Tamandua tetradactyla: one gene and its partner. The protein of the gene in region 1 purifies or fractionates together with the protein of each later gene. This does not show direct contact. Links are inferred from orthologs where the notes say so. Each region holds a gene or a part of one and is shown in the gene's direction. Other genes may lie near its edges.

The links. Proteins that work in one complex are often made in the same cells at the same time.
Region 2: the proteins of EN1 (region 1) and TLE1 purify together in Homo sapiens (affinity purification with western blotting; 4 studies listed by BioGRID and IntAct, with this or other methods). This does not show direct contact. The link is inferred for Tamandua tetradactyla from reciprocal best matches to the Homo sapiens genes EN1 and TLE1.

What each region holds. Positions count from the first base shown.
Region 1 is NC_135329.1:95,309,661-95,317,355, reverse strand, and holds the start of EN1 (homeobox protein engrailed-1), read left to right. Parts: upstream 1-4,678; coding exon 4,679-5,552; intron 5,553-7,695. UniProt on the Homo sapiens protein: Required for proper formation of the apical ectodermal ridge and correct dorsal-ventral patterning in the limb.
Region 2 is NC_135328.1:112,657,875-112,665,719, reverse strand, and holds the start of TLE1 (transducin-like enhancer protein 1), read left to right. Parts: upstream 1-4,833; 5' UTR 4,834-6,167; coding exon 6,168-6,191; intron 6,192-6,968; coding exon 6,969-7,069; intron 7,070-7,845. UniProt on the Homo sapiens protein: Transcriptional corepressor that binds to a number of transcription factors. Inhibits NF-kappa-B-regulated gene expression. Inhibits the transcriptional activation mediated by FOXA2, and by CTNNB1 and TCF family members in Wnt signaling.

The sequences.
Region 1 (7,695 bases):
ACACGTCCGCACTCCCGGCCCATCGCGCCGCACGCCCTACTAGGCTGCGAGGTTTTCGTTCACAGTTCACCTCCGGTCCCCATCCTGCAAAGGGAGAGAAATTTATCTCTGCCGAAAGGAAATTCAAAACTCTAGGGAAACTCATGCCGGGATGGGGAGCGAGTATTTTGTTGTTGTTGTTTTGTTTTGTTTTCAGAACAGCACACACTCAAACCTTCACACAAATACATTTCTGCATACCCTGGTAGTGGACTGACTCAGGCATACACTCTACTGTGCACAAGGACAGGCTTCCTGCCAGCGCACAAGTGCACACAGAGACACAAACACATACTTATGGACCAGTTTTCTCTCCCTGTGGCTCTAATAATATGCAAAACAGACACAAACACATGCTTCAGCCCCCACAGCCACTGGCTACTCTGACACCGTTTAGTGTTTTTTGCAAAATTGAGAAAGAGGAGAAACAAAGGAACAATGTCTCAGCCTTCACCTTGAGACTGCTCCAAATCGCTCATTGGTCTTCCTTCTATATCCTCCCTAAACTTCTCCAGCAGTCGCCAAAACTCATAGAATATACTGTTTTCACTGGTTTGCTCAGTGGAATCCCCTGCTTTGCAGCACAGAATGGAGGGGATCTGTTGGTAGGAGAGGCGACAAGGAGGTTGGGGTGTCTCAAGGTCCTGCTTAACTTTAAAGTTCTCCTTGAGTCCCCTTCTGCCTTCAAAGTGGAAGAGAAATCGCCCCCCCACACACACACACACTTGGATGCTTAAAACAAAACAAAATAAAACAAAATAATTTTCTTCTCAACATAATCCCCTATCTGAGCTGGGTATTACTTGGGGACAATCAACATTTATTTCTCAGACTTGACCCAGTTTGTGACCCTCTTTGGGACTCACTGCATGAACTGTCCTGCTCAGAGCTGCAAGGCTATGGAAATGGACAGCAGAGCGCCCTCACACTTCCTTGCCCTTGGCCCTGGAGCCAAGAGCTTTTGGAGAAAGGGGCTCTACTCCACTCCAGCAGGTTCCCCAATCCCTCCATCTGCTTCCTGCCCACCTGCCTCCCTGTCATCCTGGCCCGGGCATCTAGTAAGTTGAAGAAAATTTCCTAATTCTCAAAGGCTGAAAAAAAGTTCCGGAAAGTATGTGCACTCACTTGTGCACATACACCCCTCCACACAGCCAACCTCTTTACCCACATACATGCACAGGCAACTCACCCTGCCCATACTTTCTCACCCACACACCCAGCCCTGGGCTCGCCGGGAGTCTTCCAGACCCCTCGCACACCCGTTTCCGCCAACGTGTATTCGCTCTCAGCCCTCGCACACCTCACTCCCAGGCTTGCCAGAACACCAGATCCCGATAGTATGTTCATTTTCAGGAGGGAGAGGAGGGCGCCGGCCCGGGTGGGGGCCATGGAGAGCGAGCCCCGCGATGTGCACAGCGTTGGGTGCAGGCTGGGCCTGGGGAGGGGTGGGGGGCTCGAGGTAGCGCGCGGAGCGCCGCCTAATCCAGCCCCAGCTCGTGGGCCGCGGGTGCATTTATCATCCCATTACTGTAACAAATCCGGGCTCCACTACATGAAAGGTAAAATGAATTACCGACGTTAAGCCGTCAATAAAGTCATTTCTGTAAATGGTGTCTCCAAAGGGCCGCCGCATTATTCAGCTGGCTTTATCAGCTGGCTGGAAATTACGTGGAGGAGCCGGGCCGCGCGGCGCGCGGGGCCGCTCACTTTGATTAAGCGTCTTGCCAGCGCGATGTGACAGAGCTTTTGACCAGGGTTTTATTCACAGGCCTGTGATGAACGCCAAGCTGATCAGGCGGAATGAAGAGTAATTAAAACCTATAAATTATCTTCCGCAGCCCTTCTCGAGGCGTCTCTTGCAGGCGAGATAAGGCGTCGAGACCCTATTTACGGCACTGAAAGGGACCGCGGCGCACAAAAGCTACGCGGCTAAATAGGATATTGATAGTGTCCTAATTAGAATTTAATTAAGTACCCACGCTAGCTTGCGGGATAAAGATTTCAATTTTTCGAACTTAAATATAAATAAAATTCCACCCTCACTTCGGGGATTAGAGGAGGGGGCGCCGGGAAATTTCGGGGAGCCCTTGGGGATGGGGATGCAGAGGACTCGAGAGACCCCAAGGTGGGGTTTAGGGCGGTTGGAGAGGGGTGGAGGAGACTGCAGCTAGATGTTCGTGCTGTTCCCCCCCCCCCCCCCCCCCCCCCCCCCCCGCCCCGGGCACCGCTAAGGTCTAGCCAGGAACTTGGGAATCGGATGTGGGTGGCAGGCGGGTGAGTAGGGGGGGGCTCAGCTGACCTGAAGATGCAGGGAGCAGTGCGAATTCCCGCTCTCCACCAGCCCCTCTCAGAAACTTCGGCTACTGCGATGGTTTCGCCTTGCTGTGGTTTTCGTTTTATTTCCTTCCTAATTCCCTGGGACTTGTCTGGGAAACTGGAGAGAGGAATTATTTTGCATGCCCCAACTAGACAATATCCCTAAAGAGATCCTCTGTCGTCTCAGTTGAGGTTGGCGGTCAGAGCGAGCAGGTCCTCTGCAGCTGCACAGATGATACCCCTGCGAAGGCCTCCGTTGCCGGAAACTTGCCCTTTTCTTTTGTACATCGCAGGCTCCAGTAGCCAATCCGACCCTGGCTCTCTGAAATCGCGCGGCAGACCAGCCCGCCTGTGCCCCGGCCTCACTCCCCTATGCCCGGCTGTGGGAGAACTTTTGGGGTTGCTTCATCAGGGAAGAAACGAAGAAGAGCCCAGCGGACGGAAGATGGATCTCGGTGAGTGTGGGGGCGGCTGGAGTCCCGCAATCCCCCAAAGCTTGGGATGAACCTGTAGGGCTTGAGCCGGAGGCCCCCAAGATGTCGAGAGCAAATACAGAAAAATCAGTCACCTTGCAATGGTGTAAAACTCGCTGTCCAGTTAGCCAGGCAAACACCTGGAGGTGCAATGCTTTTATTTATTTGATTTTACAGTGCAGAGAAATCTAACATGAAGGTTGCCCTGAACCCAAAAGCCTGGGCCTCGCCCTTATTCCCGCCCTGACTCATCCAGCCCAACCGCCCTCCCGGACAACTCCGCGAAGCCTGGGCGGCCCCCACTCCCGCAGCAAGCGAAGGAACAGGCTCCGGCCAGCCCGACGCTCGGGGTCTCCCGCGCCCTCTGGGCCTGACTCAGTGGCGCCAGGGCCGTTCCGGGTGTTGTCCAAGGTCTGGACCAGCAAGGGCGTGGGTGAGGATTCCCCGGAGCGACATGCAGCGAAGCGGCTAGGCGTGCGACCGACAAACTAGCGCTGTTGGCTAGGCACCGCGGGCCTCCTGCTTTTGCTATTACTGAAAAATAAACTGTGCCTCTGAAAGTAACCAACCCTATCTAGATCTATTTCACACCAGCGACTTTCTCGTCTCAACACTCTCCCTCCAACACACAGACACACGCGCACCCCCCCCATACATACATACACACAGAGATGGGCAGTGACAACAAACAACCTTTCACCCTTTCTAACAGCAAGAAGGGAATAAACGAGAAAATAAAAGGCTAAGTTTCTTAGGCGTGAGGGTGCAAAGAGCCGAGGCCCCTGCTTCCTGACCCTGCATCCGTCTTGCACGCACCCATAATCCTGCATTTCTCCAACAAGTTGTTTTTGAAGTTGCTTCTTTATTTGCCTACACCCCCAAACCCACCCCTCCCCCTGTCTCCTCTGCCCCCTCCTTGGTCAGGGCCTAAAGGAGGGGGAGGGACTGAGGCAACAGAGGGGAGGGCTGGCCCGACGCGCGGGGCCCGCGCGGCGGCGCCCCCTCTCCGCCCGCGGCCGCCGCCCCCGGATTATTTATCCGCAAAGTCCCGCGCGCACTCATTGGGCCGCGGCCCGGGTGTCAGCGCGAGTGCCGGCTCGCCATTGGCCCCGCACACGTGCGGCCCTGACTCACGTGCTTCCGGTTAGAAGGCAAAAAGTGTGCCTGGGTGATTTTTTTTTTAAGCGAGAGTTTGTGCAAAGATCCGAGCTGTCAGAGATTTGAAAAAAAAAAAAAAAGGCAGCCCCGGCGCTGGCGGAGACGCGCTTTCCCTGCAAAAAAAGCAAAGGCGATTAAAGGCGCTGCCAGCCTCGCGCTCTGGGCACAGCTGAGCGTGACACTCGGGGAAGTCAAAGCCCTCACTACTTGCCTACGAAGATGGCTAGACTTTAAAGACTATTTTTTCCCTTTAAGAAAAAAAAAATTCCCGGAGCTTTTTTCTATCTTTCTTTTTTTTTCTTTTTGTTTTTTCTTTTCTTTCTTTCTCTCTCTTTTTTTTATTTTTTTTTTTTATTTTTTTTCTTTTCGGCCGTGGCTGACTCCCCATTTAAAAGAAATCATTGAATCTGGTTGCAGAAAGGAAAAAAGAAAAAGAAAAAAAAGACATAGCCAAGTGTCTCCATATCTGGATGTCTACAAATTAGAGGGAGGCAGAGACAGCAAGATCTATCTGCTCGATAAGAGCGAGCGATCCAGGCCAGGCGCCTGGGCTTTTTTTTTCCTGCGCCGCCCCTCGCCTTCGCTGGGGCTTCGCCTGCCTCCTTCCTCCGCGCACCCCCACGGGCCGCTGGCAAAGTGGGGTGGGGAGCGAAGCGCGGGGGGCGGGGGCCGGCGCGGCGGGGCGGCCGAGCATGGAAGAGCAGCAGCCGGAACCTAAAAGTCAGCGTGACTCGGGCCTCGGCGCGGCGGCGGCGGCGGCGGCCCCGGGCGGCCTCAGCCTGAGCCTCAGCCCCGGCGCCAGCGGTAGCAGCGGCAGCGATGGAGACAGCGGACCCGTGTCCCCGCAGCCCGCGCCCCCGTCGCCGCCCGCGGTGCCCTGCCTGCCGCCCCTGGCCCACCACCCGCACCTCCCCCCGCCTCCCCCGCCCCCGCCGCCGCCTCAGCATCTCGCGGCGCCTGCTCATCAGCCGCAGCCCGCGGCCCAACTGCACCGCACCACCAACTTTTTCATCGACAACATCCTGAGGCCGGACTTCGGCTGCAAAAAGGAGCAGCCGCCGCCGCAGCTCCTCGTGGCGGCGGCGGCCGGAGGGGGCGCGGGAGGAGGAGGCCGGGTCGAGCGTGACAGAGGCCAGACCGGAGCAGGTAGAGACCCTGTCCATTCGCTGGGCACGCGGGCGCCGGGCGCCGCCTCGCTCTTATGCACCCCGGACGCGAACTGTGGTCCGCCCGACGGCTCCCCGCCAGCCGCGGCCGGCAGCGCTGGCGCGTCCAAAACCGGGAACCCGGCGGCTGCGGCGGCGGCGGCTGCTGCAGCGGCCGTGGCGGCGGCGGCGGCGGCGGCGGCGGCAGCAGCGGCCAAGCCCCCGGACAGCAGCGGCGGCAGCGGAGGAGGCTCAGGGAGCCCCGGCGCGCAGGGCTCCAAGTACCCGGAACACGGCAACCCCGCCATCCTGCTTATGGGCTCAGCCAATGGCGGGCCCGTGGTCAAAAGTGACTCGCAGCAGCCTCTCGTATGGCCCGCCTGGGTCTACTGCACGCGCTACTCGGATCGTCCGTCCTCCGGTGAGTACCCGGCGCCGAGCTGCGTCATGCCTGCTGGCTCCGCGGATGCCCCCCCAGAACTCCCAGCCGCTTCGCTGGGCAGAACAAGCCCAGCCTCAGGCGCTCTGGTTTCTCACGCCTGCTTCCCTCTCCTCACAACCGGCCCCAATTCCATCCGGGTGAGGGCCCAGGTCTAAGTAAGTATAAGGTTTAGGGCGCGGAAGGCTCGGGTCTCCAGCCTTCGATTTTGAACTCCGAACCCCTGGGACCTTCTTTTTGTTTTACCTTTATTATTTTTTGGAAAGCTACGAAAATCACTCATTGATTTTTCCTCCAGGGAGGGAGTGTTTAGAGGTGGCAGGAAGGTAGGCCTAGTGATTTGGGTCTCAAATATAGCCATTCAGGTCCTGCGGAGACTGAAATCCAGCAAGTCTTTGACTAGAGAAATAATCTTCGCAGCGTATTCTCACAGACCCACACACCATCTCGTTATGTTCTGCGGAGAGTTCCTTTACATAGAGTTAGATCTAGAGTCACACAGGAAGAGAGAGAAATGTGTTTGAACGTCCCTCTCCCGCGTCGCCCTGGCCGAGGATCAGAGCGAATCTGACCCGGGTGGGTAGAATATCAGGGGCAGGCGATCGCTGAAGCGGTGGGTGCCGGGAGCGTTTCGCTCTTGGTTCTGTGGGGCTGACAGACAGACAGTCGGAGAAGAGAGAAGGCAGGCCAGACTCAGGCCAGAAAGCCGAGCCGAGCGCACGGAGAACCACCCTTTTCGGCAGCTTCTCTGCGGCGCGGCACCCGCATTTTCCCGCTCCTTCCTCCTGTCACTCCTTCCGTCCTTTATCTGCCATTTGGCAAATTTCCCCCAGTCGCAGGCCCATTTTTCTCGGCTTTTCTTCAGCCTTCTTTCTGTCTGTCTCTCACGCTCGGCGGACCCGAGGCCGAGGCCTGCAGAGGGACAGCCGCCGGATCCCTTCGAGAGGAGGCTGAGGCCTGCCCGCCGCCCCGCTGGCAGCTCAGGGAAAAGCAGTGGGGGCTGCCAGGAGGGTGGCAGAGGTTCTGACCCGGGATGCGGGCTCCGGGCGCCCAGGAGCCAGAGGAGGCCGGACACAGCGTAGCCACGCGTCGCTCTCCCACTGCGGGTCTCTCGCTCCTGGCCGCTGCTGGCCGGGCGCGGATCGATGCGCGCTATCAGCCCCCGCCATCTCGAGCCCCGTTATTGACACGTCCGGCTCCCTGAACCTCCGAAAAGCTGCTTTGATTGACTTGCCTGATGGATAGAGTGATTGAGCTGTCAGGCCGCGCGGCTCGGGCAGGCCGGGAGACTACGATTTTATTACAAGTGTCCGTGCCTTCTGCACGCAGACACAACAGCACTCCAACCATGCCCCGAAAGCACAATGCGCAGCGGGGCCTTTCTGGGATGTGTTCATCTCCTGGGTCACCTCTACCGGCTCCCGGAATTACTAAACGAAGGCCTCATCCCCTGCCACCGTGCCTCCAATCCTCTCTGCACTCAACTCAGGAGTGGGCCCCTTTGTTCTTGGTGGCTTTCTTTCCTATGGGCCTGGGTGCAGGGGGACTGTCTCCCTGCATGGGCACTTCAGGAACTGAGCCTTAACCAAGGCCTGAGCTACTGCTGTCTGCTAGGCCTGGACTCTTTGTTACAGGATAATTGGGGACCTCAGACCTTGGCCCATCCCAGAACCAGAAGTTGCCTTGCTTATCCACTGTAGTTAGTTTTGGAATGTGGGAGAAGACCCTTCTTTGGAGACAGCTTTAGGGCTTAATAGACCTGGCAGGGGCTTAGCTGGACCCAGGAAGCTCTGTAACCATGGCAGGGCCCAGCAAGTAAATTCCAGAAGACTCAGCGCAAAGGCCAATGAGCAGAGATGCCCGCTTTTCAGGCACAGGCCAATAGTCATATCCTCCCAGTCTACCTTCTCTCTTTTCCTCCATCCCTCCCCAAAGCAGCCCACTTCCCATCCTAGTATTTGAGAGAGACTTTATCTCCCTGGGGAGGTTTCCTGTGGTCTCTTCCCATGGAGCACGGATTTTTTTTTTTTTTTTTTTGCCAGAATTGTCCCTCTGATTCCATCCTTTTGCCCGTGTTTTGTTCATAGGTGAGGTGGGGTAGGGTGTCATTAGTGACTGTCAGGGA
Region 2 (7,845 bases), on another chromosome or scaffold:
ATTATGATAAGGAAACAAACAGGGCTGAAGACCAGGGTAACAGAAACTAAGAATTCCCCAGAGGGGTTCAACAGCAGATTGGAACAGGGCAGAAGAAATCAGAGAACTTGAAGATAAGATATGTGAAGTCATTCAGTCTGAGAGGCAGTAAGAGGAAAGAATGAGGAAAAGTGAAAGATGCCTGAGGAATCTATGCGACACCCATACACATGAGGTAATCCCAGAAGGAGAAGAAAGACAAAGGGGCAGAAAGAATATTCAAAGAAATAATGGGTGAACACTTACCAAATTTAACAAAAGACATGGATATACATACCCAAGATGCTCAACGAACTCCAAACAGGATGAACCCAAATAGACCCACGCTGCAGCATATTATAATGAAACGGTTCACTGGCAAAGATAAAGAGAGAATTCTGAAAGCTACCAGAGAAAATTGGCAGGCCATGTATGAGGGAGCCTCAGTAAGATTAAGTGCTGATTTCTCATTGGAAACCATGGAGGCAAGAAGGCAGTGGGATGGCATATTTAGAGTACTAACAACAAAAAATTGCCACCTAAGAATTCTATATCTGGCGAAAGTGTCTTTTTAAAATGCAGGAGAGATTAAGACATTCCCTGTAAACAAAAGCTGAGGGAGTTGTCAGCACTAGACCAGAATTACAAGAGATGCTCAAGAGAGCTCTGGAGGTTGAAAGGAAAGGACAATAGACAATAGGTCACAGCTGCTGAAGCGATAAAGCTCACCAGGGAGGGTAACAACCGGGTAAAGATAAATGCCAGTGCTCTTGTATTTTTGGTTGGTAATTCCACTTTTTACTTGCTAAAGGATTTAAAAGGCAAAGGTAAAAATGTAATGAGATATCAGTGGTTTTGGACTCATAATATATAAACATGTAATTTGTGAGAAGAATTACATAAAGGTGGGGGACGGTATATACTATGGCATCGAAGCAAATGAGATTGTTATAGATTTAGGATGTTAAATTTTGTGGTGAGTACAAAAAAAAATCAGAGAATATGTAAACAGAGAGACAGAAATTAGAGTGCAAGTGGCCAGGGGTGGAGGATAGAGGGATTGGAGATTTAAAGTATAACGGGTATAGGGATTCTGTTTTGGGAGACAGGAAAGTTTTAACACAGGAAGGTGGTGAAGGTACCACAATACTGCAAACGTGATTAATCTCATTGAATGATATGTATGGGAGGGGTTGGGATGGGAAATTTTATGTTGCATATATGTCTCCACAATTAAAAAAAAAAAAAAAGACAGATCAACTAAAGACACAATGACAAATGCAATACACGATCCTGGATGGAATCAAACAAGCAAAGAGAAAAAACTCATAGGATATTTTCAGGACATATGAAAAAATTACAATATAGAGTCTAAGCTTTAAATCAGTGTTAATTTCTTGAACATGATAACTGCACTCAAGGTGGTTATGTAAGTGAATATCCTTGTTTTAAGGAAATGTACATGGCAGTATTAAGTGGTAAGGGAACATGATGTATACAAACCTATACTCAAGAGTTCATAAAATGGATTGGACAGAAAGATGCAGAGAGGGGACAGAGGAGGGAAAAACAATGACGTGGCAAATGTGACAAAATGTTCAAATTGGTGGACCTGAGTTCTCTGTATGAGGTTTATATTATTTTTGTAACTGTCCTGTACGTTTGAAAGTATTTCAAATAAGTTTTAAAAAAAAATTGCCGGCAATCTTTCTGTTTCTTTTGCAGAGGATAAACAGGGTACTGCTTTTACTTCAGGGACAATTTCCTATGGAAGCAGCACACTTAATATTATTTCTTGTAAAAACATCATCAACATACGATTATGTTGAAGGTAAAGAAGATTATGGTTAACGTACTTCAAATAGATGACTAAAATTATAGATTTCATGAGTAGGACTGTTTTCTTTTAAACAGGCTGTAGGCAATCTGCACATATATGATTTATTTAAAACAGAAGATTAAGGCTACTTGATTGTTTAAACACCATCATTTATAATGCAGTTTGATGAGAGTTTTGTAGTATAATTATTACAGCATGGCAATCAGGGAGAAAATATGACCTTGAAAAGGGCAGAGCTTTCTCCCTCTCTCAAGGAGGATGCTCTGTATGAGACAGAAGCCATCGAAATGAAAAAATATTCATGCAATTAAAGGCTTTCCAATTTTAAATTCAGTATATTCATTCTTTTCTCCACATACTACATTATAAGGAAATCAGAAGGTAGTAAGGAAGCACTGGTCAAAAGAGAAATCCTCAATTTTTACCAAGGCCAAACTGGGAAAGGTGGCAACCACATACGTGTTCTGTGAAGAGCTGTATGACAGAATATTTAAAGTCAGTGTGTTAAAACTGATTTTGAACGGGGTGGGTGGGAAGAGAAGTAGCAACACTTTTGCTACTGCCCCAAAACATGTCATTTTAATGTCTCTGCTTATACTTAATTGCTAGTGTTTACCAGTAAGTTAAGATACCCATCAGGCAAAGCTGGGTAAGTAAGCCAGGGAGATGTCTCAGACTGCTATAGCTGTCCCAGAGTCCACAGGCATTTCTGTGGCACAAAAGAACTTTCTACCCAGTCCTCAGATTATGAGATGAAGTCATCACAGACTGGCCCATGTGGCCCAGCCAGAAAATAGATGAAGATTTCAAAGAACACAGGTTGCCCAAGGACAAAGCTTAGTTCCACATGGATCATATAATTTTAAAAAGTCCTGTATGTGGAGCAAACCTGCCGCTGTCATCACCAAATTAACCACGGAAAGAGAGGCAGTGCTTCTCTTTCATTCTCCAGGTTAGCAAAAGAATAATATAGTCTCCTTCCCAAATTTAATGAGAGCACTGCAAAGTATACTGCCAAATTTAAGAATTTACTACTGCCTTGCATATTGAATAAAACTACTCTATTTTTCACTTGTAATTGATAATTGGGATTGATGCAATTATAGAGAAATCAATGTCATACATATTTTAAAACAATTGCAACTGTGAACTGTATTACTTAAAATGATTCTTTCAATATTTCAGGAAGAAGTTTTCTGTAAAAGCAAATCTTTGAATGAAATACATTTATGTATGTGCTTTCCCATATGTCTCTTAAAAGTAAAATAACATGGGGCTGGCCACGGTAGCTCAGCAGGCAGAGTTGTTGCCTCCCACACCGGAGACCCGGGTTCGATTCCCGATGCCTGCCCATACAAAAAATCAAAGTAAAATAATGGGGATGTAGAAGTTATTGATACCAAAAATATGTTTACTAGGTTCCAATGTTAAGAGAAATGCTTGTCATGTAGGTCCCAATACACACAGTTTCCACGGGTCACATGGAAATAGCTTAACCGTACTGTTCAAAGTATACATTTTCTATGTGATCTATTTAGAGAGACAAAAACTGGGGACTCTTTATTTTACTTACACATTGAGTCCCGTTTATTTAAAAATCTCAAAAATCCCTTTTAACTCAAGTTTCGCTGCGTAAGAATTTTAGCCTCGTCCTTTACCCACGTCTTCCCCTCTGGCTCCGAACACAGATCAGCCCTGGGGTACCATCCAAATTATGGGGGTGGGGATGGAGGTGGGTGGGACAGGTTTTTCAGGTCTCAATGCTGGTTTATTTCATTGTCTCCCTTTGTTCCCAGGAATTGGAAACAGACTCGTGGTCATGTGGCTGCGAGACTCCTAAAACTACGATTTTTTTTCCCCCTCATCACAGCAAAGCCAGGACTTTGAAGACAAGGACCCGAGATTTCGCGCCCCGGGCAGAGTATCGCATCTGCGCTTTGGTACACTCCTGCCTTACCTAGGCATACCTTTGAGAATCCCTCCCGCCAAACGAAGGCAGGCCGACCCTTTGGCAAAGCGATTTGATACCCGCCAATAAAAAACGAATCCTACCACCTTGGGCAAAACGTGGTGGGCACCATGGTGATGTCTTAAGGGCTGGCCTACGCACGCAATGCGTTGACCATTAGGCAGTTTCCACCAGGGCACAGTCCATTCCTTCTCATGCGTTGCTGAAAAGGTAGTCTAGGAAAAAAACAAACCTCAGAGAAATTTTTGAATATGACCTCACATTCCAAAAGGGTAGCATCAAACAAGAGGCTAGCACCGAAAGACGCATTTTAACTCAAAACTACCAAAGCAGCACCCCAATAAGCAACGCGACTAGTTCTTGAGTTACTTTCGTCAAGATCTGAGGATTTTCATAAAAGAAAAAGTGAACAAGTGGCAGCATTTTTGCAAACTGAACAAGTGGCAGCATTTTTGCAAACTCGAACCCCAGTTCGGCGGCAGCAAGCTCGCGAGTCCCCCAGCCCCCCCCCCCCCACCCCGCTCGCGCGCTAAGGCGCGCTCCCTAGGCAGCCCCACGTTACTTTGATTGACAGCTGAGCCCCGCTGCTCTCCTTCCCACCGACCTTCCCATCCTCCGTGCCAATCTCTGAGTCTCGCCGCTTTTCATTGGCTGGCTTCGGCGTCCGAGGCTCCTCCAGGAACACTTCCTCACCAAGCCTGAGAGGACGCGGCTGGGTGGAGGAGGGGTGGTGGCAGGGGAGACAAGGGAGACGGCGGAGATGGAAGCAAGTGGGATGGGAGGGATGAAGGAAGGGACAGCCTGGCTGGCCTTGCGCTGCCATAGGCTCTGGGGGAGCCGCGCGTCAGTACCCCACGTTGGGCACGGCGCGCGCGATTGGCTGACGCGGGCCTTTCTGCTGCCCGAGCCCCGCCCGAGCCCACGTCCCCCGTCGGCTCTGCGCTCGCGACCCCGCCCGTACGGGGCTGGGCGGGGCCGGCTCTGGTTAGCTCCGGAGTGTGAAACCGCGTGTTAATGTAACCGGCGCGAGAGGCGCGGGCGGCGGCGGCGGGACCGGCGGCTGCAGGAACAGCAGTGGCGGATACCCCGTGCCTCGCGCCCCCCAGGCGACCGACTGCGCCACCTCCACCCCCTAAGAAGCCAGGCGAGATCTCCGCCACCAGCCGGGACCTCCGCCACCAGCCCGGACCTCCGCCGACCGGTGGTGACCAAAGCTCCACTGGCCACCGGTGCCGCGACTACTCCGGACTCGCCCGCGGAGTTTTTCCGCCGGGGAGGAGGCTGGGCGGTGGAGTGCATGCCTGCTATTCTCCCCATTCTCTCGTGGATGTCGTCCCTGGGGTCGTGAGAGAACTTTGCAGCGGGCTGGAGCGCCCTTTGCGGAGAGGCAAACGAAGGGAAGGGGAGGACCGAGGAAAGGGCTTCGAAGAAGGGTCCGGAGTGGCTAGTCCGGCCCTTCGGGGCGATCTCGCGCGGGGCGCAGTGCCCTGATGCTTCGTGGGCCCGAGGAGCCGTGGGTGGTTGCGGGGCTGCACTCCACGGAATAGCCCCGTCGGGCCAGGAGGGTTTGTGCAACCGCGGAGGACACCGAGTGCTGGTTGCACGGGGCGTGCCGAGCTGCCTCCCGGCGCGCCCTCCGCACTTTCTCCGCCTCGGCGTCATCCCGTGTTTCCCAGCCCGGGCTGAGGCTGCGCATCGCCGGGCGCGGAGCCTCCGCGGCGATCCGATCCTAGCTGTCCGCGGTCCCCTGGGAGCCCGCGAACGCCCGGCCAAAGGCCCTATAGTTGCCGGGTTTGTGTGGGGTTAACCGGAGGCGCCGCTCCACCTGCACCTCCTCACCCGCCGCCGCCGCTGCGGGGAAAATCCGGAGAGAGGCGGACTGGAGAAAAGCAAAGAAAAGCAGCCCGCCTGGATTTGTTAGCTCGGGACCGGCGCTGCGCACGCTGATCGCCGAGGGGAGCGCGGCGGGAGTCAGTACGCCCTCACCTCCCCGCCCCGGCGGCCGAGGCCCGCCGGTTGGAGCGCAGCCCCCGCGCCCTCTCCCAGGGCGCTGGCGTCGTCGCGCAATTTCTTGGAACAGCTGAGCCCTGGGCGCCCCACGATGTGGCCCTGAGCGCGGGAGCCCGCAGCGGCGGGAGTAGGAGTAACCGCGGGCGCGGAGCGGCGGTGCGCCCCTCTGAGCGCGCCTGCGTGCGTGGTCATCGCCCCCCACCCTTCCGCCCCCTGCGCGCCCCGCTTCTGCTTGGCTTCCTGGCTTAATTTTCCTCGGTGGGATTAAAGTTGGAAATTGAGCGAAGAATTGAGTTGCCCAGGAACAGAGCCGCGGCCTCCGCCAGAGCTATGTTCCCGCAGAGCCGGCACCCGGTGAGGAGCGGCCCAGTGTGTGTGTGTGTGGGGGGGGTCAGGGTGCTGTTTCCCGAGCAGTAGGGAGACGGGCGGCTGCCAGGTCTCCTCACCCCCAGGGGTGCAAAACTGGGGAGGTCCAGAGCCCTGGTTCCCCGGGGTGCAGAGTGGCCTGAAACTCCGGATCCCCCCCCCCTTTTCTTTCGGCCCCCTCCTATTTGACGTCTAGACTGGGTGGAAGGGGGCGCCGGGGGAGGCTAGGGTTTCTGTCCTGGCAGGCACATTCTCCCCAGTCCCCGAGCCCGGGGGGGGCGCCCCCCCTTTTGTTTCTTGTCTCGCTTATTTGCATGTCAATGCGGCCCCCGTTCCGGCGCTCCTGGAGGTGGCCCCGGCGACTCTGGGAACTGAGAACGTAAAGGGAGTTGTTTTTCTTCTCCGGCCCCGGGAGTCATTATCGCCCCTGAGGGGGAGGGGGAAGGCGACGACAACAATCTGGTCTGGTCCTACCCGGTCTTCTGGGAGCTGCCCCTCCCTCCGGCCGGGTGATGTGGGCACACTTAATTACGACCCGCCCTGGAAGCGGTTCCTAGCCTCTTTAGAAGCTGGGGACTGGGGGAGTGTCCTTCTCTCCCCTTCCCAGAGTGAAACGGAGAGGCGAGTTCGGGGCTTCAGTATCCGCCTCTTCTAACTTTATTTTTTGTTTATGTCCCACCCACTTCTCCCTTTTCTGACTTACTGCTTTATGTGTACATCCACCCGCACCCCCAATTCTCGGTGCCCCTCGCTTGTCGCCCCCAGACGCCGCACCAGGCTGCAGGCCAGCCCTTCAAGTTCACTATCCCGGAGTCCCTGGACAGGATCAAGGAAGAATTCCAGTTCCTACAGGCGCAGTATCACAGGTGCGTGTCGGCGGTGGCGGGAGAGTGGTTGTCAGGGCATTGGTCTCTGGTGGCCGCATGCCCCTCTGCCCAGCCGGATGGCGGCGGCTGTACTTAGTACTTGCGTCCAGGCGGTGGCGTGTGGAGTTGCAGTTAAGACCTGTCATTTCAAGTTCCCCTCTTTCTTGGCTCTTCCCGGGCCTCCTCTTCTTCTCTTGTCTCCTCCTCCTCCCATTGTTTCCCTTTTACCCTTTTGCTGCTGTTCCAAAGAATCCTTTTTCGTGTATTTGGGAGTTGCATAAGAACCGTCAATATTTGCACTTAACTTATTTATTTTGCAACAGGCTAGGCCTGAAACATTGATTCAGTCGATGCCTCAGCCCTGGAGTGTGGGTTCCTGGAGGCAAAACCAGTGTTGAAATCACTGTTTGCCATACTTGGGAATTAGGTTGTCTGAGGCAAAGTCCATAGTGGAAGGCTGGCATTTGGCTCTACCCATCATTAGTGTAGTGTGTAGGAGAAAGCACACCTGCTTTGATATCATTCTGGGTAGTTTAGGATAAAGCATGTAATTGGAGTCAATTTTATATACATCTCAGCCTTAGTTTCTTCATCTAAGGACACCTACCTCCCAATTCAAAGGATTTATAAATGAAAATTATTTGCATGGTTCCTGGCCCATTGTAGATTTTCCAGAAATGTTGCTCCTGTTGAAATTAGATGAGGCTAAGTGGTTTGGGCATCAATTTTCTTATTTTTCTGGGGTTTTCTTGTTTTTGACCTATTGTCTACTTGCA